Linked DNA regions of Arabidopsis thaliana. The main gene of each other region encodes a partner of the protein of the gene in region 2 in a complex. Each region holds a gene or a part of one and is shown on either strand. Other genes may lie near its edges. The genes, in order: PSAF and psaJ. A codon is read from its position in the direction of its gene.

What was found.
Region 1: the proteins of psaJ (region 2) and PSAF are in contact, whole or in part, in a cryo-EM structure (PDB 7WFE), measured with the Arabidopsis thaliana proteins. Residues at the interface, in NP_051079.1 of Arabidopsis thaliana: Thr6 (codon at 620), Ser9 (codon at 611), Val10 (codon at 608), Ala11 (codon at 605), Leu14 (codon at 596), Trp18 (codon at 584), Pro34 (codon at 536), Asp35 (codon at 533), Ala36 (codon at 530), Leu37 (codon at 527), Thr38 (codon at 524), Phe39 (codon at 521), Pro40 (codon at 518), Phe42 (codon at 512); in NP_174418.1 of Arabidopsis thaliana: Lys115 (codon at 1,574), Arg119 (codon at 1,562), Tyr123 (codon at 1,287), Tyr126 (codon at 1,278), Leu128 (codon at 1,272), Pro136 (codon at 1,248), Leu138 (codon at 1,242), Gly148 (codon at 1,212), Glu149 (codon at 1,209), Thr152 (codon at 1,200), Pro153 (codon at 1,197), Leu156 (codon at 1,188), Glu185 (codon at 1,101), Ile186 (codon at 1,098), Ile187 (codon at 1,095), Ile188 (codon at 1,092), Val190 (codon at 1,086), Ile197 (codon at 1,065).

Annotation. Positions count from the first base shown.
Region 1 is NC_003070.9:11,214,024-11,218,165, forward strand, and holds PSAF (photosystem I subunit F), read right to left. Parts: upstream 2,119-4,142; 5' UTR 1,917-2,118; coding exon 1,561-1,916; intron 1,298-1,560; coding exon 988-1,297; 3' UTR 653-987; downstream 1-652. Other genes in the region: LBD4 (LOB domain-containing protein 4), read left to right, coding at 1-9; AT1G31335 (uncharacterized protein), read right to left, coding at 3,094-3,306; RUB1 (uncharacterized protein), read right to left, coding at 4,053-4,142. UniProt on the Arabidopsis thaliana protein: Participates in efficiency of electron transfer from plastocyanin to P700 (or cytochrome c553 in algae and cyanobacteria). This plastocyanin-docking protein contributes to the specific association of plastocyanin to PSI.
Region 2 is NC_000932.1:64,613-67,563, reverse strand, and holds psaJ (photosystem I subunit IX), read right to left. Parts: upstream 636-2,951; coding exon 501-635; downstream 1-500. Other genes in the region: rpl33 (ribosomal protein L33), read right to left, coding at 1-76; petG (cytochrome b6/f complex subunit V), read right to left, coding at 1,453-1,566; petL (cytochrome b6/f complex subunit VI), read right to left, coding at 1,757-1,852. UniProt on the Arabidopsis thaliana protein: May help in the organization of the PsaE and PsaF subunits.

The DNA.
Region 1 (4,142 bases), on a different chromosome or scaffold from region 2:
TCTTGCTAGTCAATAATGCTCTCTTTCTGCTACTGCAATTTCCTCTTCCTTTTTTGGGAAATTTCGGGATTATTATATATTAAATTTAGGGGTAGGATATGAAAATGCTCTGTTTTGACTACAGAGTGAAATTATTAACATGATATAGATACATAAAAATACTAAATATATTTATATATTATAAATCTCTCTCTATATATTTATTAGTATTTGTAACTTTGTAATTCCGGGGTATTTGGGATTTGGTGTATGTGTAGGACCTTTGGATCATGATCCGGTAGGGTTATTTTGATCATTTCCAACCGAGGAGGGATCTTTGTTATTGACCTAATGTAAATTTGTGAGATATATTATTTATCTATATCTATATACAATTATGATCATGTAACCCATGGTGTGTGCTTGACTCTGTGAGCATATTATCGTGTAATGGTCATCTTTGATACTAGCTAAGTCTAGCTTAGCAATTAGCACTAAGCACTTGTATGGGCCTGAATTTTTATTATGCAAACTTATGGCCCATTTGTCTTTATTTTTTGGTTTCCTTGCAAACATTTGCCATTTGATAGTCGCTGATAGAATCGCTCGCATATGAAGGAAACAGAAAGACCGGACCGGAGCATGTGCTTGTGGTAAGAAATTTACAGTGAGCTTAAGAAGAAACACAAGTAATTTAGTCTATTATAGTTCAAGAGCTTCTCCTGCATTCATGCAAATGCAAGAGTGGTAAAATAGCATTATACTAAGTAAATTTGGTTATGCTCCTGTGCGTTATATCAGGATATTCCCTTCAAGCAATTGAGCTTCACATAGCAATCACTAGACCGCAAAATCACAATCTGTCAATCACCATTTTAGCCATAATTCTTTCTACTTGCGCAATCCAAATTTTATAAGGTTTTCGACAATGCATTGTTTTTCAATAAGTACAATGGAAAACAAAGAGATTAGAGAGAGTAACACAAAAGCAGAAAACAAGTTCCCTTTTTAAACATCCTTAGCAATGAGATCACCATTGAGAAACTCTCTGTAGGCAGCAACGGGCCAAATGAAACCACGGAAGATGATCCGACTAGCCAAAGGAACATCGATGATGATCTCTTTCATCGCGGGTTTCTTCTCACCACTAATAGCTATTAAGTAGCTTCTTCCAACCCACCCGATCCATCCAGCAATGTAGAGGAAAAGAATCCCTGGAGTAATGAACTCTCCCCAATGCCGCTGGTCTCCGTTCACTATCAAGTGCGGTAAACCGTCTGACCCGCATAACAATCCGTACTTCCCGTAGTTGTCGAACCTAACATACATTCATAAGCACATCAACTTCAAACCAATCCACAGTTCCACAAGCTCCTCAATAGATCATATCAATGATCAAATTTAACATGTCTAGCAACTTCGAAAACTCACTAACTCACCAAAAAAATCATACTAAAGCAATGGATCTAGCAAGTAATTCACTAAAACAGAGAAAAACTCTGTTTCAGAACAGAGGAAAGCTCTGTTTCAGAACAGAGAAAAAGCTCTGGTTTAACGAAGAAATAGAAATGGAAGACGAACCTGCGTTTGGTTTTCTCGATCTGAGCATTGAGAGCAAGAGCAGGGGCAGATTCAGGAGCGTAGAGCTTAAGAGAAGATTCAAGCTTCTTGATCTGTTGCTTCTCTCTTTTAGCGAACTGTTTTGAGTCCTTGCAAGGAGTCAAACCTGAGATATCAGCGACAGCTGGCATAGGAGCAGAGAGGAGGATGGAAGAGAGGGCGACGGCGGCGGAGAAAGCTTTCATGGATTGAGGTGTGGAGGAGGAGGATTTGTCATCGGAGCAGACGAATCTTGCGGAGGATTTAGGTACGGATTGAGTGAGAGATTTGTTAGATCTCGGGTTGAGAACGAGATTCGCCGGGATAGTGAGCGACATGGCGCTTTGTCGGGTTCTTTGGAGATTTCGAATTCTAGGGTTCTGGAGTTTTGGGTGAAGTGTGGAGAGAAGACTTATGGGAGGAGCTTTAGATTCTTGAGGGGATTAGTGGAGGGAGAGGAAGATAAGAGAAGTGGTCTTGGGGTGATGAGGTGGCGTGTTGTGATTGGTTGATAAGTAACATGTCACTGGATAAGAGATTTTGCCGCGGATTTTAATAGTTTTGTCATTTTGATGTTCAAGATATGTGGACTACACACGACTTATCTTTTATTTATTTTTAATATCTATACATATTATATATACACTGAAAATAATCATATATATATATATATGTAGCAAAAAAAAAAAGAGATGTAGTTTTTTAGTCCTGATTAGTTTTTTTTTTGGCAAATAGTCCTGATTAGTAAGACTGCAAAATTGAGTCTTTTATTGGTTAACCACATAATAAGAAAATGGGATCATGAGTTTGCAATATCAAAGAATTAAATCTATATATGACCAAAATAAACATTAGCAGAATTACAACTCCTTCTACCATTCCGCCGGAAGGAGGCTACATTTTTTGTAATGTTTGTTTGAAATGCTTCACAGATATCTTCTGATAAGATCTCTTGATCTGTCTCTGAAGTCTCAACACCTTAATTAGGGTTTCATCTCTTAAGATATGCTTTTCTTTAAAGTTTTACCATTTTTTCAATGTATTAACTGTCTATTTCCTGGCAGAAGAAACAAATTTCTTCACATTTACCCATATATATATTGTTTATAGCAAAAATATTTCGTCTTTTTTTTTTTGGTCTAATTATATCCGAGAGGAGAATTTGGTTGTGTTACCACATCATACTTTGAAGTTTGAACTCGTTGAATTAATAACACGCAGTTCTGATATATATTATTCTTTTGTGAAAGAAGTTCTGATATATTTCTAGATGTTTTTTTTCCTTTTTTTTCTTTTCTAGATGTTTCTTATAGAATAATCAATGTGTAAACCATTACTAGCTTTCTTATTTACATCAAAGAGATAGGAAAATACACAAATAAAGAAGGAAATTCATCCCAAGAAAACTAAAGACAATCAAAAGATTACAAGTTACAACAATTCACAATAAGTCAAACAAAAGCATCTTCCAATAGAGACAAGCAAGACAGACAAAGAAGAGAAAATGAAGGAAAATCAGACGTTGTGAGAATTGTCGGGCTTGGCGTGTGGAGACAACGGCGGAGAGGAGGCGGCGATAGCACCGGGAGGCGGAGCTGGAGCTCCATACACCTGAGGATTTGTACGGATCTCACGACGGCCGCGAGATTTTCCGAGGAAGTAGCAGCCAAATCCGAGAAGTAGACAGAAGAAAATTAGAGGCAGAGATATGACCACAACCAAACCCATCGATCTTGACTCTTGAGATCTATGTTCAATCTTCTTTCTGATTGATTTTTATTCTTGGACTCTTGTTCTTGCTTTGATTCTACTTCACATGTATTTATATGTATGAGTTTGTGGGAGGCTCTGGAAGGATCCGATTCTGTCCGCAACGTTTATGTCTTGTAAAGCTTTAAAGCTTAACGTTTAAATCTCAACGGTCATCTTTTTTTTTGGTCGGCCCATCCATACGATTTCTTCTAGTTTTTATAATCACATTAGTCATGTCTCATGTGCTTTTCTGGCTATGAAAGTATAGAGAATCAAACTCAAGTTGACAAGTTAAGTTACTTAGAAAATTAAAGTAAAAATTGTTAAATGTGATGGACACTCATTGGATTTGACGATTTGTAACCACTATTTCATTGTAATGCAAATAAATATGGGACTATTGATGGACTCATGCAACCAGCAATCTCAATCGGCCTGGTCCGATCTTACACATAGCTCGATCCTATTTTCACATGTCTAGCCTCTTTCTTGAATGAAAGATATTCATCATAAATAGCTAAATCCCAAATAAATATGTTAAAGTACGATTCGATGTTAAACAAAACAAAATGATTCGATATTTAACAGATTATTGGTAAAATGATCCAAACCCAGTGAAACAGCATAATATTCAAAGTATCATATCCAAATTGCAATCACTTTTTTCCCATGAACTCCAACAAGCCATACAAAGAGAAAAAGATATCTTCAAGAGTTACTTCTCAGAGAAGACCAAAACCACCCCTAAGGGCAAGAACCAGATGAAGAACAGAGCCTCCCTCTATGTTGTAGTCCTTTGCCGTTTTGTCATC
Region 2 (2,951 bases):
CTTTCTTAATATCATTTCGAACACAACTGGTACATTCCAAAATAATTGTTACTCGAACATCTTTACCCTTGGCCATGAAACCTCCTTTGGATTTATGATTCACCTCAATCTTCTATTTTAATTTTAGGATCCAGAAAGAACAAGAACAAAAAAAATAGAAGCTGTTAACTAAAAAAAATTCTGAAATATTTCGTTACAATTAATATTTTATTTATTAGTAATTAAATAAAAAAAATAAGTAATACAATGATTTATGATTTTGTGAAAACTATATTTAAAATCTTTGTACAGTAGTTTTTTTAAGTATCTGATAGGTTCCCTAGCAACACTTTTTTTCGTTCTATTACTAATTTCATTGGATCCTGAACCCTCGTTTTTATGACCTTTCCCCCCCCCCCCCACCTTTTCTAATTTATTCTACTAATTAGAAAAGGTGGGGGGGTTAGTCCCCGATTGTTGATTGTATCTCTAAATTTTTCACCCCTTTCTGATGTTAATAACTAGAATGAAAAAAAGGGAAATGTTAATGCATCTGGAAATAAACGATTAATCTCTATTAATAAACCTGCTAACGAACCGAACCATAGAGTACTTAGTACCGGTGCTACGGAAAGATATGTTTTTAGATCTCGCATTAGAAATCCTCCTTCTTTCTTCTTTATTGTATTACATTATATATAGTAATATATATAATTACAGATGTACATGTAATTAAGAAGTTCTTGTATTTGTATATGTAACTTCCGTCCCCCCGCTTTCAAAATTAGAATTTTAATATTGTCGACTAGAACGATCTTATCGATTCCATTTGAAAACGTAAAGGCCTATTTATGTAAAATTGAGAGAATAAAAAAAAAAAAAAAAGTAAATTTTTTAATTATATCTTTGTTATCTGATATGAGAAAAAAAGAAGAAATGAATTTGATATACCAATAAAAAAGAAGGAGGATGTGGAAAACAAGACAGGAATTCTCTACAATGACACTGTAAACCTATTGAAAGGGATGTAGCGCAGCTTGGTAGCGCGTTTGTTTTGGGTACAAAATGTCACGGGTTCAAATCCTGTCATCCCTACCTATTACTGCTCAGAAGAGCAGTAACGAGGTATCTATTTTGATCAATTTTTTTTATCGGACATACATTTAATTCTGAAATTTATGATATACTATGTATGATATAGTATATACGTACAAAATCGAGTCGGGTTAAAGAATGCCCTCTTTCTAGCCTTTTCGTTTTTTAGAAAAAAAAAAAAAGAAAAACGCTCTTAGTTCAGTTCGGTAGAACGTGGGTCTCCAAAACCCAATGTCGTAGGTTCAAATCCTACAGAGCGTGATTTCATAGATTGTATCAAAATTCCACTGTTCACAAATTACTGAGCAGCAGTCTGAATTAGACCTCCCGCATAGGAAAGCAAGAAGGAGGTTAGTAAAAAAACGAGATGTTAATTAATTAAAAGTCCAACTGATCACCACGTCTGTATTGTAAATAAGCAGTTACGAATAATCCAGCCAAAGTAATAGGAATTAGACCTAAGACGATTCCAAATAAAAAAACTTCAATCATTTGAATTTTCTTTTGTTTTCATTTTTGAAAGGGAGAAAAGAGAGGTACTATCTATTCCTAGCTCTTAATCTGTATTGCCAATGAATCTCAATGACCAAAATTTGGTAATTAACACGGTAAGGAACTATCGAACATATTAATAAATACCAACGAAATCCTTTTTTATAAAAAAATCTGCATTCAATTAATTTCAAATAAGTCGTATTTTGCTTAGACCAATAAACAGAACTGAGGTTATAGTTAAAGCTGCTAGTAGAAAACCGAAATAACTAGTTATAGTAGGCATGAAGGGACTCAATAAAATATGTTTTTTTATACATATGTTTCTTAAAGTACTTCCCTAAGTTTCAATTGAAATTTTTTTTAAGAAATAGAGAAAGATAACTAGTTCCAAGAATTAAAAAAATTCAATTGAAAATTTGTGAATTATCAATCATTATAGGTGGTATGAAAAAAAATAGAGAAAGATAAAAAGAACTCAATTCATCGTCTTTGGCATCTGCACTATCTCAGGAGTCAGAATTAACGTAACTTATTAATTGAAAAACTCTTTAAGAAATTAATCATAAAAAAAAATAATACATAAAAAAAATAACTCTATTATCTAACTTCAGTCAAAACATATAACTTTTTTTGAATGAATATGTAAAAATTTGAAAATAAGTTGTTTGATTCTTTTTTTTTATTGACCTTAGAACCTAGAATACGCCTCTTTCTACTTTATTAAAATTGAATTTACTAAAATTTAAACTCATTAGATTAAATTAAATAGTAGAGCAGTTTTCTTCATTTAATCTATCGAATGAGACTAAAAAGAAAAGAGGTATCCTACACGGAGAACGAGATTAGTAAAAAAAAAGATTTATTTATTTTAACTAGATTTTAAACGATAACTAGATTTTTAAAACTTGTAATTAGCAATTTCTATTATCGTTTCCTTTCGAGGTTTTAGGTTTTTTTCTTTCGAGATTATATAGAAAATAGAGTGAAAAACCCATCACCCTTGTAGTTAGTTAAAGAAAGAAAAAAACCTTTGAATTGTGAATTGAATACAACAAAACAATGCACGCATTACAAATATTTAGTCTTTTTTTATTATTTTTATTTGTTGTTCTTTTTAATTGATCCAATCCAATCCAAAACTATTGTTCTTTTTCTTGTTTCTGCAAATTAATTCCTTAAAATGAAACAAAAAGTAAAAGGGGGGATCACATTATCATAAAAAAATCTATTCTACAATTATGCATATGCAATGAAAATGAAATTTATAAATTTTTCATTCAATTAACTTGGGACCATATGAAAATTTGCTTCATGAATTATTAGAATTAGAAACCAACTTCTTGGATTTTCATTTTATCTAATCTTTAGTTTATTTTCTAGTC